4 linked regions of the Sus scrofa genome follow. The protein of the gene in region 4 purifies or fractionates together with the protein of the main gene of each other region. This does not show direct contact. Links are inferred from orthologs where the notes say so. Each region holds a gene or a part of one and is shown on either strand. Other genes may lie near its edges.

Evidence for each region.
Region 1: the proteins of MRGBP (region 4) and MBTD1 purify together in Homo sapiens (affinity purification with mass spectrometry; 4 studies listed by BioGRID and IntAct, counting the BioPlex papers as one, with this or other methods). This does not show direct contact. The link is inferred for Sus scrofa from reciprocal best matches to the Homo sapiens genes MRGBP and MBTD1.
Region 2: the proteins of MRGBP (region 4) and EPC2 purify together in Homo sapiens (co-immunoprecipitation; 4 studies listed by BioGRID and IntAct, counting the BioPlex papers as one, with this or other methods). This does not show direct contact. The link is inferred for Sus scrofa from reciprocal best matches to the Homo sapiens genes MRGBP and EPC2.
Region 3: the proteins of MRGBP (region 4) and RUVBL2 purify together in Homo sapiens (co-immunoprecipitation; 5 studies listed by BioGRID and IntAct, counting the BioPlex papers as one, with this or other methods). This does not show direct contact. The link is inferred for Sus scrofa from reciprocal best matches to the Homo sapiens genes MRGBP and RUVBL2.

What each region holds. Positions count from the first base shown.
Region 1 is NC_010454.4:27,463,772-27,467,342, forward strand, and holds part of MBTD1 (MBT domain-containing protein 1), read right to left. Parts: coding exon 3,510-3,571; intron 1,829-3,509; coding exon 1,746-1,828; intron 1,378-1,745; coding exon 1,143-1,377; exon of another isoform or gene 651-1,142; coding exon 573-650; intron 1-572. UniProt on the Homo sapiens protein: Chromatin reader component of the NuA4 histone acetyltransferase complex, a multiprotein complex involved in transcriptional activation of select genes principally by acetylation of nucleosomal histones H4 and H2A.
Region 2 is NC_010457.5:3,442,695-3,446,265, reverse strand, and holds part of EPC2 (enhancer of polycomb homolog 2), read left to right. Parts: intron 1-1,136; coding exon 1,137-1,285; intron 1,286-2,065; coding exon 2,066-2,198; intron 2,199-3,571. UniProt on the Homo sapiens protein: May play a role in transcription or DNA repair.
Region 3 is NC_010448.4:54,260,462-54,264,021, forward strand, and holds the end of RUVBL2 (ruvB-like 2), read left to right. Parts: intron 1-218; coding exon 219-313; intron 314-415; coding exon 416-534; intron 535-1,677; coding exon 1,678-1,797; intron 1,798-2,173; coding exon 2,174-2,303; intron 2,304-2,676; coding exon 2,677-2,791; intron 2,792-2,919; coding exon 2,920-2,945; 3' UTR 2,946-3,031; downstream 3,032-3,560. UniProt on the Homo sapiens protein: Possesses single-stranded DNA-stimulated ATPase and ATP-dependent DNA helicase (5' to 3') activity; hexamerization is thought to be critical for ATP hydrolysis and adjacent subunits in the ring-like structure contribute to the ATPase activity.
Region 4 is NC_010459.5:62,057,072-62,061,215, forward strand, and holds the start of MRGBP (MRG/MORF4L-binding protein), read left to right. Parts: upstream 1-1,329; 5' UTR 1,330-1,394; coding exon 1,395-1,542; intron 1,543-1,982; coding exon 1,983-2,104; intron 2,105-4,144.

The DNA.
Region 1 (3,571 bases), on a different chromosome or scaffold from region 4:
CAAGGATACTAGTTGGGTTCTTAACCCACTGAGTCATCATGGGAAGTCCCAAGAAAAATTTTTTTTGGCCACACCGATGGCATGTAGAAGTTCCTGGGCCAGGGGCTGAACCTGCCGCACAGGAGCATTCTGAGAAAACTTTTCTTAGGTCTGATTTTGTTAGCTATCACCTTGAATTTCTCAAAAGCATCATTCTAGAAAGAGTTTTCATTTATAAGGATGGGTTTATTAATCTCCAAGTCTATTGTAAGCATCTGCTTTTAAAGTTGTAAAACTCTTAAAGATTTAAAAAAGATTAATTTTCAGAAGGTTTACATGTTACTTCAAGAATTGTCCACAGACTCTATTCTTTACCACATATTAAATATTATGGTAATAATTTCCCCTATCAAAGGTAAGTGTTTCTCATTACTGAAAAGGTTTGCCTTTTATAGCATACTGCACCTTTAAGCATAATACAGAATGCACAGTTATCTGCTCTCAAAAAGGGTATCGTTTCTGTGCAAGAATATTTAAGACCCCAACTGGTTAACAAGTTACAAAGTGTATATAAACACCACATGGTGACCCACTTTTCTTATGTCCTTTGTATTGCTGGGACTTAGCCTTTTTCTTCTGCTTTGATGAACCTGATTGGCTTTCTCTTGATGCTGAAAAATAAAAGGGAAAATTGGTACCAGACAACTCCTTACAAATCTAGATACAACTTAGTTCACCAAGAACATTACGCTTATAAAAGTATACAATGTTTTAAAAATAAGGGTACTTTTTCCTGCAAAACCATGAACTTCAATACCAGAGAGATTCCACTACTTATTCAATAAGTCCTTCAAATACACCAATAACATAAAATTTATTAGCCTGTAATTTTAAACTCATTAAAATAAGTACAGTTTAATTTGGTGAGTGCTCTTGATGTTGTGTTTCTATAGTCATTATGTAACTGACTACTGAGTTCACACTGCCATGGAACACATGGTCTGATTCTGTGATATTGTCGTTGAGTCTTAAGATCTTACCTGGCAACCAATCAGACTTAGGTATATTCTTGTCCTGTGAGCTCACAAGATGATTTATGTGAGATAGTCCTCCGAGAACTGCTGATTTTTACAAAAGGACACCTTTTCTGTATACCAACTTACACTGTGATGCTGGAGGCTGTAGCTGATATCCAGTTAATTGACACCACCCTACAGGATAGAGGTCAGGGGACTCACAGTCTACCCACTGATCATATTCTTCTTCCCATCCATCAAAATGTATCCTCAAGAGACGATGAATAATTCGAGTTACTGTGGCTACACATATTAATCGTGGCTCCATGAGATCTACTGCTTCTAATTTCATTCCTACACGAAATCCGTGATTGGGAACATCCTAACGTGGAGAAGCAAAACATTAACACTGGTGAAAAGAAGAATGTATAATCCGCCATTACTAAGGAAGAAAAAAAAAGAACACAACCAATTGACAATTTAGACCAAAAAATCTGAAATAATTCTTTAATTATTGAAACATATGAGGCTGAAGCATATTAAGCACTACTTAGGAAATGTATTCATTCCTATTTTATTCAGATTAAAAATAAAACAAAATCTGGAAACAACCTTAAAGTCCTATGTAAAGAAAATACTTAGCATTGTTTTACTATTATATGTTCATATTAATCTTAGGAATTCTAGCATAAGGCAAAGACATTCTGACCAACACTGATTTGCATTTGTGAGGCATCATTTAAAATTTACCTTATTAAACAGTTTTACTGGTGCTGCAATGGAGCCAGTTTCCCTGAGGTAGTCAAACCATTTAAAAGGAAGTTTTGTGTAACCTGAAAAACACAACTAGTTTAACTAGCAGTTCTTTTAAAATGAGCATATATTAAAATGCAGATGTAAAGTAATTTAGTATACACTACAATCACAGATTTTGTTATATGACAAGCTCTCTGTTATATGAATCGTGCTCTGATGCTGTAGAGTTTGATAGTTCCTCCTTGTTATATGGATTTTCCTCTTTTCTAGACAGAAACAAGTACCCACTTATTCTAATGCCAAAGTGACTCTCCCCTCCTCACTCTGTAAGAACTACAGACTTCTGCTTTTTCAATCCTAGGATTAGAAGAGCCTAACATTTAACACTTTTCAGTAATATTTTTCTTTCTTTGTAAGAAAGAAAACAGGCTGGGCAAATACTTTTTCTTTTTTTAATAGTCCACTCTTTTGGCTTTTCTCCATTTCTTAAAGAGAAAAAAACCTAAGGCTCAGATACTGAAATTAGGAAAGTCATTGGTTAAACCATAAGAGCTATTTAAGCATATACCTGCTTTTAAAAAGTCACATGGTAATCCAAAGATGAAAACTTGCTTTTCCTCAAAAGCTAAAGTTTTTTTTTTTTTTTTTAAGGGCCACACCCACAGCATATGGAGCTTCCCAGGCTAGGGGTTTAATCAGAGCTACAGCTGCTGGTCTACACCACAGCCACAGCAACTTGGGATCTGAGCCACGCCTGCGACCCACACCACAGCTCACAGCAACACCAGATCCTTAATCCACTAAGTGAGGCCAGGGATTGAACCTGAAACGTCATGGTTCCTAGTAAGACTTGTTTCTACTGTGCCACAACGGAACAGCCTAAAGTATCTATTTTTTTTTTAGGGGCCGCACCCACAGCATATAGAGGTTCGCAGGCTAGGGGTCTAATCAGAGCTGTAGCCACCAGTCTATGCCAGAGCCACAGCAACGCCAGATCCAAGCCACAACTGCGACCTACACAACAGCTCATGGCAATGCCAGATCCTTAACTCACCGATCGAGGCCAGGGATAGAACCTGCAACCTCATGGTTCCTAGTTGGATTTGTTTTCGCTGCGCCACAACAGGGACTCCTAAAGTATGTACTTTTTTTTTTTTTGTCTTTTGTCTTTTGTTGTTGTTGCTATCTCTTGGGCCGCTTCCGAGGCATATGGAGATTCCCAGGCTAGGGGTTGAATCGGAGCTGTAGCCACCGGCCTACGCCAGAGCCACAGCAACTCGGGATCCGAGCCGCGTCTGCAACCTACACCACAGCTCACGGCAACGCCGGATCGTTAACCCACTGAGCAAGGGCAGGGACCGAACCCGCGACCTCATGGTTCCTAGTCGGATTCGTTAACCACTGCGCCACGACGGGAACTCCCTAAAGTATGTATTTTTTAAAAAAAGTTTATGTGTACAACAGACTTTGGAGCCTAAATCACCATCTCAACAGGGCTTGAGAATATTATTTCATATTATAAAATGTATAGATGCTCAGAAAAAGATTCTATACCAATTATACCAATTATTAAAGCTAGTTAGGATACAGTTCGTTATGTTTTCAGAGCACCCAACAGATCTTGTGTGTGTTTATATATATATATACACATATACTCTTATTTTCATACAGCAGGAAATCTAGAGCTGTGGTAAATGTTAACAGGTACCATGTAAAAAGCAAGGATGAAAACTCAGTGTATATATTAGGAAGAAGTACCTCTGGGTGGAGTAAGTTCAATCATGTTAATTTCACAGAAACCAACAGGGAAAATAGAAGGG
Region 2 (3,571 bases), on a different chromosome or scaffold from region 4:
TGTTTCCTGTTTACAAGAAATTTTTTGCTTAGAACCATGCTTTAGATTTTGCCTTTAGTGCTGAAGGGGAAAAAAGATTGACTTCCATTGGATGAGATAAAAGGATGACATGGTAACACAGCATTTTTTAATATTCATCATGCAGTACCTTAATGGGACGTAGTTTAGGTGGTGATTAATTTTAAAGAAGCTATATATGAAAGAAAAAAGTAAAACATTGAATCTTTCTCAGGTTTTATTTTTTTGTTTTATAATCCTCCAATGTGAAGCTTGGCTTTGTCTGTGTTCTTTGTAATATAATAGTGCATTATTAAGTCAAGGATGGAAAGCTTGCTTAAGTGCGGTCTGTCTGAACACACACATATATATATAGGATAAGAGGTGGTAGTGCTCTATTTTTAAACAGTTCCATGCCTATTATGAAGTTAATATTCTGTGGCTGTTTGATTGAATGAATATTTTAAATTAGTGATTAACTTAATTTTCTTTTATATGCAAATAGATGCTACTAATTACAACTGAGCCTTCTCTAGCTAATAACTAGGACTTTTCACCTGTGAGTTAGTTCAGGTTATCTCTTATATGTCAAAGAACTTACAGTGAAATTCAGATTTTTCACTAGATCTCTTTTCTGTTCTGTGGTAAGGTGTCACTGCATTGAAGCATGATAATCCTATTCCTTGAGATCCTTTATATCCTACATTCAGTTTTATATCTATTCTACATGAAGTGATGGATAGAGGTTCATTTTGGCTATTTTTCGATAACCTTGATTTGACGGAACTGTTTTGCTTTGTCTTTGGAAAATAACACAATATGAAAAGATTACATTTTCTGATACAGTAGGTTTTGTTTCAGACAGACTTTGAAAAATTTGTTTACATTGGAATTATCCTTTCTATGTCATTCTGTCTTTTCAACAGCTGGCAATATTTTTTTCTGAAGATTTATTGAGATGTTTGATTATACTTTTATTTTCAGAGTTAAATAGGTTCTCTTAATGTAGTTGCTGTTTAGATTTTTTTTTTTAACATTTTGCTTTTATAGAATGAATTTGGGTCTTTCAGTTTTGTTGCATGAAGCTGAAGGGTGGACAGTTGAATTGTTTATTCTTCTAAACTTGTTGTTTTCAATAGAATCGTAAGAATGATGAAGCCTCTTATGAAAAGATGTTGAAACTGAGACGGGAGTTTAGTAGAGCCATAACAATTTTGGAGATGATTAAAAGAAGAGAGAAAACAAAACGAGAATTATTGCACTTAACCTTAGAAGTTGTGGAAAAAAGGTAAACATTGCTGCTATTACATACCAGTAATAGCTTTAGTAAAAATGATGGGCAAAATATAAATCAAATATTTTTGGTTATCAATTTGGGTTGCAAATTTGAGGAATGTATTAGATCTTCTTTTACACTTAATTTTTTGTTCTTGTTGAGAAACCATTGAATTGTATTTAGAAAAGGACTTAGGGATCATTTAGTCCAATCCTCTGTATTAGATTTCTATTAAATAGCATTTGAGGGAAATGAACGTTTAATTGATTTTATTTTCTGATTAGTTAGAAAATATTTGTTTCAGTGCATTTTGATGCATTGAATTCAATGAATTCTCTGATGTAATGATCCTTTTCCTACGTAATTAAATAGACTGTGCTAAACCTAACAAAATTTTGTGTTTCCTAAGGTAAGCCTTCCAAACATCATTCCCCAGTGCTTGAAAATGTAAAATATATGAGAAATCCATCTTCTGTGTACTGTAGAGATTGATGGGGAGGGGTGTGTGGCTTGTTTTATATTTATAAATCCCAAAATATGAGCTTCTTTATTCCTATTAGTTTTCTTTCTGAAGAATAATTTGATTAATGTTGGCTCTATTGGATTAGTTGTGTCATTGAGGAGTTCTTTGGTGGCTCAGCAGGTTAAGGGAACTTTCATATGCTTCGGGTGTGGCCAAAAAAATTTTTCCTTAAGTATAAAATGAAAATGAATAAATAAATAAATATTGGCTTTTCTTTCTCTTTCATTTTCGAAATGTAACGTTTTCTTACATATTATTTCCTTTTCAAGATATCATTTGGGAGACTATGGTGGTGAAATCCTTAATGAAGTGAAGATCAGTAGATCAGAAAAAGAGTTATATGCCACTCCAGCTACTCTTCATAATGGAAATCATCACAAAGTCCAAGAATGTAAAACTAAGGTAAATATTTTCTGAGGGGAAGCATGTATGATAATTTGATCAGGCAGTTGGTTTCTGCAGTTGGCTTATAATAGTTTGGTTAAAGAAGAAATTATTAACATGTATTGAGTTTTTACTTTTTGTCTGGCACTTTGCTAGGATTTGTTATATAACTTGTTGATTTATGAATCCTTATAACAATCCTTTGAGATAGATTTTACCTCTTCATGACTTCCAGATCATATAGCATAAGTGGTAGATTCAAGGTTTGAGTCCAGGTCTAACACCAAAAACCATATGCATTCAGCTGTGCTATCTGCTTCCCTAGAGAATAAGGGTAATTAAAGCTTAGTTACTGTTACTAGTCTTAGCAAGTCCTGCATCATAATGGCAGGTATCAAAATCTAAAATTAAAGCTTTTTTCATTGAGACTGTTGAAAGTTATTTTTATTGTCATCACCATTGCCAGAACCAGCATTTGTCAGTTGCTGTCTATCCTGAGAAAGTCCTATGACGTCTAGATCATGATTTCTTCCTTATAATAAAGAGTCAAATTAGTGATTACTTTAGGTTTTTTTTTTGACTAAAGAATTATATCTATTCATTATTCACTTGGTATATTAAGGTATTCAATTGAAATATACAAAAAGTAATAAAACTTTTAAGAAGCTTTGACTTTAAAAAAAGAAACAGGTATTGACTGAGCATTTAGACAGAGCTCTACTGTGTAGCAAGGTTTAAAAAGTGACTTAGGGTGTTTGTGGAAAATTCATCTTTTAAAAATGTGTACAATCCTCATTTTTCATGGTTCATTCCTAAAGGTCAAGGAAGAATGTGGAGCAGGAAGACTCCTCCATTATTCAACTCATGTCAATTCAAACACCAAAGTTCTTTCTTATTAATCACAGGCATCTAGCCCACCTATCCAGTTCCCTTTAAATCACCCTTGTCTCTGTAGCCATAAACAACACAATAAGTGTCATTTATTTTTTAAAATTCTTTTTTTTTTTTGTCTTTTTACTTTTTCTAGGGCTGCTCCCATGGCTTATGGAGGTTCCCAGGCTAGGGGTCGAATCAGAGCTGTAGCCACCGACCTATGCCAGAGCCACAACAATGTGGTATCCAAGCTGCATCTGCGACCTACACCACAGCTCACAGCAACACCGGATCCTTAACCCACTGAGCAAGGCCAGGGATCCAACCCGCCACCTCATGGTTCCTAGTCGGATACATTAACCACTGCCGCCACGACAGGAACTCCCTAAAAATCCTTTTTATATAAATGCTCTTCCTAGGTATATTGTTGGTAGGCACAGAATATGAAAATCTCAACCCCAGACTACTGACAGAATCAATCTTTATTATATATTGATTTTATTTTGGATCATAATTCT
Region 3 (3,560 bases), on a different chromosome or scaffold from region 4:
GTCCTTCTCTCAGGTGGTCTGACGGGGGCGCCCCTGTACCCCCTCTGCCTCTGTTCTTCCTCTCTGGGGCCCCTCCGACTCCCCGGCCCTCATGTCGCGTAGCCACTCCAGTCTGGGTCTCTCTTCCCTCTGTGCCCGGCCTCCCATCTCTCTGGGTCATCGTCCCGCCTCCGGCCCTGGATCCCTGTCTCCTCTCTGACACCCCCCACAACCGGCAGGTGACACGGGGGAGATCAAGTCAGAAGTCCGAGAGCAGATCAACGCCAAGGTGGCTGAGTGGCGGGAGGAGGGCAAGGCGGAGATCATCCCTGGCGTGAGTACCTGGCCGAGGCCACGGCAGGCGGCCCGCGGGGGTTCGCAGGAGAAGAGGGGGCGCGGGAGGTGGATTTCATGTCCCCCCCCCGATGGCCCCCAGGTGCTGTTTATCGACGAGGTCCACATGCTGGACATCGAGAGCTTCTCCTTCCTCAACCGGGCCCTGGAGAGTGACATGGCACCTGTCCTCATCATGGCCACCAACCGCGGCATCACCCGGTGAGAACGGGCGTGCTGGGTGGCAGGAAGGCCACAGGGTTAAACAGGCCAGGGCTGCGGAGCACCTCGTTGGGGAGCTGCGCTGCTGTAGTGGGCTGCCCTCGGGCGCTGGGGCCCGGGCGGCTGGCGTACTTTCCCTCAAACAAAAGCAGGCGAGCGCTCGGGGCTGGTGGGTGCCCAGCTGCACAGGCGCTCTGGGACCCAGCATGCTCTGTCTTTTCTTGTTCCCAGAGGCCTCAAGGTTACAGATTCCAAACTGTGTGCCCAGGCAGGCACGCGGGGTGCTGCAGAGAACACAGGAGTGCTGTGGGTGTTTTCAAATGTTTGAGGGACACCTCGTGACATGAGTCGGGTGCTCTGTAAACCACTCCAATTAAGTCACTTAGATCCAACTACTTAGGAATAAACAGAACAAAACTTATTCCCCTTGGCCCAAGGATGCTAAGGAAAAATTCCTGACAGAGTTCCCCTTGTGGCTCAACAAGTTAAGAACCCAACTACTATCCATGAGGATGTGGGTTTGATCCCTGGCCTCACTCAGTGGGTTCAGGCCATTAGCTGCAGTGTAGGTCGCAGATGGGGCTCTGAGCTGAGCCCGTGTTGCTATGGAATCTGCTAGAGTTCCTGCTGTGGTGCAGTGGGTTCAGGATCCAGTGTTGTCTCTGCAGCAGCGTGGCTTTGATCCTCAGTCTGGTGCAGTGGGTTAAGGATCCAGAGTTGCTGCAGCTGCAGCTCAAGTTCAGTCCCTGGCCGGGGAACTTCCATATGATTCGGGTGTAGCCAAAAAAAAAAAAAAAAGGAATCTGCTGTTTCCTGGCACCTGCCATGTGCAGCAGGGGACAGGACTGTGCCAGTGGAGCTCTGTGTCAAGCAGAGAAGCGGGACCTTGAGCCGCTAATCCCAGACATAGATCTCTAGCTAAATCCAGCCCAGCTCTAGAGGGGGAGGGATGCAGTCAGGGGCCGGCTGTGCTGTCAGGCGGTGACGCCAGCCGGCCGGGAGCTGAAGGCCAAGCGAGTGGTATTTGACCCAGTGAGTGGGCCATGGCGGAAGGGGTGGGGAGGGCTGTCCGGGTAAGGGGAATGGGGAGCCGGGCTGTTAAGAGCACCACCCTGACCGCCCTCCCTTCCCCCTCCTGCCCAGGATCCGGGGCACCAGCTACCAGAGCCCCCATGGCATCCCCATCGATCTGCTGGACCGACTGCTCATCGTCTCCACCTCCCCCTACAGCGAGAAAGACACAAAGCAGATCCTCCGCATCCGGTGCGGGTGGGGCTGGTGTCCACCCTCTTTGGCCCATGGGGACCCCGAGGTCTGAAGGGGAGGTGGCTGGGCCCGCCAGAAGTCCTGCTGGGCTGGGCATCGAAGCAGTGGCCTCTGAGGAGGTTGTGAGGGTTGGAGAAAGGCGGGGGGGTGTTGGTGACACAGCTGGGGGAGGTGAGGGGGAGCCCAGGAGTGGGAGGGTCCGGAGGCCCACCCCAGGTTTAGGCTCAGCCGGTGCCTCAGCGGCCCTTGGCACTCAGCATCCTGTGCCTCTGAGAGTGAGACTCCACGTGGCCCCAGGAGGTGCAGCAGCGCCCCTTGGGGGAGGGCTCTGCGGCAGAGTCTGCACCCTGGCTGACCGCCGCCCCCGCCATAGGTGCGAGGAGGAGGATGTGGAGATGAGCGAAGACGCCTACACGGTGCTGACCCGCATCGGGCTGGAGACCTCCCTGCGCTACGCCATCCAGCTCATTACAGCCGCCAGCCTGGTGTGCCGCAAGCGCAAGGTCAGCGGCTGAGGGCGCCCTGGGGGCTTGGAGCAGTGAGTGGAGGGCCCGCTGGTCCCAGGGCTTTCCCTGGGCCACAGCCTTTCGTCCTAGGACTTGGGTTTCAGAGGCAGGGAGCTTCCGGTCTCTGCGCTTGGTTGCTGTGTCTCCTGGCCGGACGCCCGGGAGGCGCCGGGAGGCGCCGACTGAATAGCTATTGGCTGCACTCCGATGCCGTGAAGTCCCTTTTACAGATGAGCACACCAGGGGTGGAGAGGTGGGGGCCGTGGCCGGGCGGTGGCCCTGCTGGGATTTGACCCCAGGCGACCTGGCCCCAGAGTCGTTGCTCCCGCCCCGGGGGGGCCCCCCCTCTGAGGTCTGGCACCCCCATCAGGGCACGGAGGTCCAGGTGGACGACATCAAGCGGGTCTACTCGCTCTTTCTGGACGAGTCACGATCCACGCAGTACATGAAGGAGTACCAGGATGCCTTCCTCTTCAACGAGCTCAGTGAGTATCGGCCCCGCCGCCCACCGCCGCCCGCCCGCCGGCCCGCAGAGGGAGGGGAGCCCGGCCTGGAGAGCTCGGGCCCTGCCCTCTGGGCCACACCGACCACCTGGCCTTCCTTCTCCCCACAGAAGGCGAGACCATGGACACCTCCTGAGCCCACGTCACCCTCTCCCCCACCTCCCCTGTTTTCTACCAGAGTTCTGACACCGTGACTTTGTATAAAATGGTTCCGAAACTGGGCCCACTGTGTGGGTGTGGGTGTAGGTGTGTACATACGCACGTGCTCACACGCCCCAGCCCCCAGAATAGACAACCCCAGAGTGCAGGTGGAGCAGCCTTTATTGGTGGGGGGGAGCATCTGTGGGCCTGGGAGGCTGAGGCCGGGAGTCCTTAGAGGAAGAGGAGGCCTGGGAGTAGGGGGCGGTCACAGGCCAAGGGTTGGGCTCTGGGACCCCCACAGTCAGAGCTGCTGAGGCGGCAGGGCCCGCAGTGACAGCTGAGAGCCACGGGGAAGGAGACCGTTGGGTCCACGCCAGGCGGGCAGCCAGGGAGGCGGATGGAGGCAAAGCTCAGCTCTCGGTAGGTGCACACCGGCTGGGGCACGGGTGGCAGGGCAGCCGGCAGCACCCGCACCTGTAGGGGGTGGGGGCGGGGCTTGGGTGTCTACCTGGGGCCCAGCCCTCCCCCAAGGTCCCCCCTCAGTACCCCACAGACCCCAGACTCAGGTGTCCAGGGGACCCTCTGTGTTCTCCCACCCACAGGCCCCACT
Region 4 (4,144 bases):
AGCTGGCAGGTCAGAGGGAGGGGAGGAGACACACCTGGCAAGAATCCCAACTTAGGGAGTTCCCTTTGTGGCTCAGCGGTTAATGAACCCAACTAGGATCCATGAGGATGCGGGTTTGATCCCTGGCCTCACTCAGTGGGTTAAGGATCCGGCGTTGCCATGAGCTGTGGTATCTAGGTTGCAGATGCAGCTCACACCCGCTGTGGTGTAGGCTGGCAGCTACAGCTCTGATTCGACCCCTAGCCTGGGAACTTCCATACGCCGCAGGTGCAGCCCTAAAAAAAAGCAAATAATAATAATAATGGAATCACAACGTCCAGCCATAACATGGCTCACAGGACGGCCGGCTCTGCTGACCGCGTCTTCCCACCTTGTGGGCACCAGCATGGGAAGCCGGGACTCAGGCTCTGAGTCCACCGGGAGGTGACTGGCTGGCCAGAGCCCACACGGCCAAGGGGCAGCGCTCACCGCTGTGGCTCCAAATGTCTGCTAAGACGCCCGAGCCTGTGCTGGGGCACCCAGAAACCAAGCCCCATCAGTAACCCCACTGCACGGAGGAGGAAGCTTAGGCCTGAAGAGGTCCAGCACCTTGCAGCGCTCACAGAACTAGCAGGTCGCGGAGCCGGAAGAGGACCCGGAAGCCCGACGCGGGAGTCTACACCCGGGAGGTGAAGAGCGCTCGCGCGTTGGGCAAGAGCCCTGGCACCGCGGTGGGCGTGGCCTAGCGGAGAGGGGCGGGGGGAGCCGCGAGGGCGGGGCCGGGCCGGGCCGGGGCGGAGCCGGCGGCCTCCATTGGGTGCTTCTTTGAGTTCGTCACAGGACTGCCAGGCCAGACTCCGCCCAGGCCCCGCCCCTCCGTGGGGGTTAACCCCGCCCCCTCCGGCCTGGGCCCTCCTGCCCTTTAGGCTGAGGCCCGCGGTCAAGGCGCGGGGCCCAGACGCCTCTGCCCCGGCGCGCGGGGGCCGCTCTGTTCCACACTCAGGCCAGAGGTCAGCCAGGGGCTTTTGAAGCCCTTGGAGCCACACTCGCGGGCATTGTCAGTTGCCTGTTCTTTTTCTTCCTAGCAGCTTTACTGAGGTGTAACTTGCAATTCCTCCATTTAAAGCGCACAGTTCTGCGGGGTTTACCCAGAGCTGTGCAGCCATCGCCACAACTTAATTTAGGGCGTTTACATCCTCAGTCCCTCTCATCCTCCTCAGGCTCCGACGGCGCTGCGCTGAGAGACCTGGCCGCCAGGGGGCGCCGCGACCCCGCCCTCAGCTGCGCCTGCGCCGACTCCGCGCGCGAACCCCAGAGCGAGCCCGCCGAGCGCGCGCCCGCCCCGCGAGTGCGCCTGCGCGGAGCCCGTGGCCGCGCCCGCTCCCGCCGGGGGCTCGTCGCTGGGCGGCCGGGCCATGGGGGAGGCCGAGGTGGGCGGCGGTGGCGCGGCGGGCGACAAGGGGCCCGGGGAGGCAGCCACCAGCCCGGCCGAGGAGACGGTCGTGTGGAGCCCCGAGGTGGAGGTGTGCCTCTTCCACGCCATGCTGGGCCACAAGCCCGTCGGTGAGCGGAGCGCCGCGCCGAGGCCGCGCACCCGCGTGGGGGCGGGGCGGCCGGCAACGGCCGGGGGCGCGCGCGGGGCGGGCGGGGCGGGGCCTCCTGCGCCTGCACCCCTGCACACCCTGCCCCCACCTGCTCGCCCCTCCCCGGCCTGCTCCTTGCAGTCCCCTCCCCCGCTCGACTTTGCCCCCTCCCGCCCCCACCCCCCCACGCCGGCCGACCCCTGCCTTCACCTGCACCCCTGCCCCCTTTGCTCCTCCCCCACTGACCCCTACCTCTTCCTCTCCCCCCTTGTACCTGCCACCAACCCCATTCTACCCCCGCGCCCTCCAAGCACTGCCCCCGTCTCCCCCTGCGCCTTCTCCCCTCTCTTCCCCTTGACCCCCACGTCTGTTCTCCAAACTACCTGTCTGCCCCCACGGGCTGACCCTTTCCCCCTGCAGGTGTGAACCGGCACTTCCACATGATCTGTATCCGGGACAAGTTCAGCCAGAACATCGGCCGGCAAGTGCCCTCCAAGGTCATCTGGGACCACCTGAGCACCATGTACGACATGCAGGCACTGGTGAGCTGGCCCCCACCCTCCCCCAGACAGGTGGTGGCCGAGAGCCCCCTCCGTGCGCCTCCCTGCGTCTACACCAGGCCCTGTCCTCAGGGAACTTGACGTCTGGGCTGCCCCGCAGGGGACCAGTTGTTCAACAAGGTAGCTCCGAGCAGTTTTACAGAAAACACAAACCTAGTGACGGTAGCTGGTTATCACATGGCACCTACTTGCAATTGAGGGGTCAGTTAGGACCTGGCCAGGAGACGACTGAGGAGCTGAGGCCTGTGGGAGGGGCTCTGAGGCCATTGTCAGTCTTACAGAAAGTCCCAGAGTGCTGTAGGCAGGGAGGTGGCAGGGTCTGAGTCAGGTTAAGGTGACACTGGTGACTGCTGGTAGAACCAGGCAGGCAGGGACCCGGGCCTCACGGAACCCCCCCTGAGCCATGTCGTTAGCGGGGCAGATGAACTAGGGGAACAGGGTGGCCAAAGAGACCAGTGGCGTTCCCAGCAGAGGAGCGGCAGGTGTCAAGGCTCTGTGGCAGCAGGCGTTGGTGCATCAGAGGACGCAGAGGAGGCCAGGGTGTCTGGAGAGTGGGTGGGAGCCGGGTGGCAGGTGCCCGGTGAGGTGGGAGCCTGTGCTGGGTTAGGGAAGGCTCCATCTCCCCTCACGCCCCCAGGCGAGAATTGGTGCGTGTGGGCAAAGGGGGCAGCAGACCCCCAGCCGTCTGGGTCCAGAAACCTCACTGCCATTCCCTCCCTTTGGCCTTGGGCGTGGCACTCACATCTCGTCCTGGTGTAGGGAGGAGAGAAAGGTGACCACTGTGTCCTGGGACCAGCGCCTGGCCTGCAGTAGGCATTCTAGAAACTCGAGAACTGGCCGCTAAACTACACCAGGCCCACCCAAAGGGCCATGCCTGCTGGTCAGGGCCTTGCCCTCCGTGAGTTCCCGGGTTCCACAGCTTGACTGGGCTCGCATACCTGTCACACTGTGAGGTCACCTGGCCCCCAGGCACGTCCTGAGCCCTGACTGCTGGCTGGACCCAGAGATCAGAGTGGCAGGGTCCCCGACCTGGGGGAGGCAGATGGTTCTTAGGCACGCTGCTGGCCCAGAGGATCCCATGGCTGTGACCCCAGCACAGGGCCCACGTGACACTCAGGGAACTGCAGCGGGGGCACCCAGGGCTTTCAGCCCGGGACAGTGGCCCTTCTCTCTTTTCCTCGCACCCTAGCATGGCTGTGGGGCTGACGTCACGGTCACCTGGGGCCTTGAACCCCACCCGCAAGGTGCCGTGGGCGCAGGAACCCTCGGGTTTTGAAGCTCCTCGATGCCGATCAGCACGTTTACACGCTGACCGCCTGGTGATGAGCACGGCTCCCGAGTGTCTCCTGATCGCCCCCAACCCTGAGTCCCTCCTGCCAGCTAAGCTCTCCCTTCGTCCCATGGGCTGCGTCTCCACCGTCTCTGTCCGGTCCGGCAGGTGCGAGCTGCCAGCCAGGTGGAACACGCTGAGCATCGGCGGTGCCTGCTCCCCTGCACTCACCTGCTTCCCACCCCGGTGGCCCGCCCACATGGGTGAGACGGGAGCCCCATGGCCTTTCTGCAGGGTTGTCACGGCCCTCGGATCGCGTGCTCCCGGAGCCTGCACAGCCGGGCCAGGCCTGCGGGACAGCTGCAGCCTGATTCTGGCCCTGCAGGTGTGCCAGCAGACTGGGCACCCTGGCCCCATCTCAGGTGACAGTCAACCCAGAGTCTTCCCTCTCGTGACTGATGCTGGTGGCTCATGCTGTGGTTTTGCCTTGTCTGGCTCCGTGTGACAAGCCCAGCCCCTCGTAAACCGTAGAAGAGAAAGAAACGGCCTCGGCCCCCTCCACCTGCCCACTGCAGCCTCGAGACCGTTACCTGTGTTTGTTGTTTGCTCCTGAATTTAAAAGTCACGTTTAAGAGCTCCCTGGTAGCTCAGTGGGTTGGGGATCGGGTGTTGTCACTGCAGCGGCTCGGGTTGCTGCTTTGGCTCGGGTTTGATCCCTGGCTCAGGAGCTTGTGTGCGCCACAGATACAGCC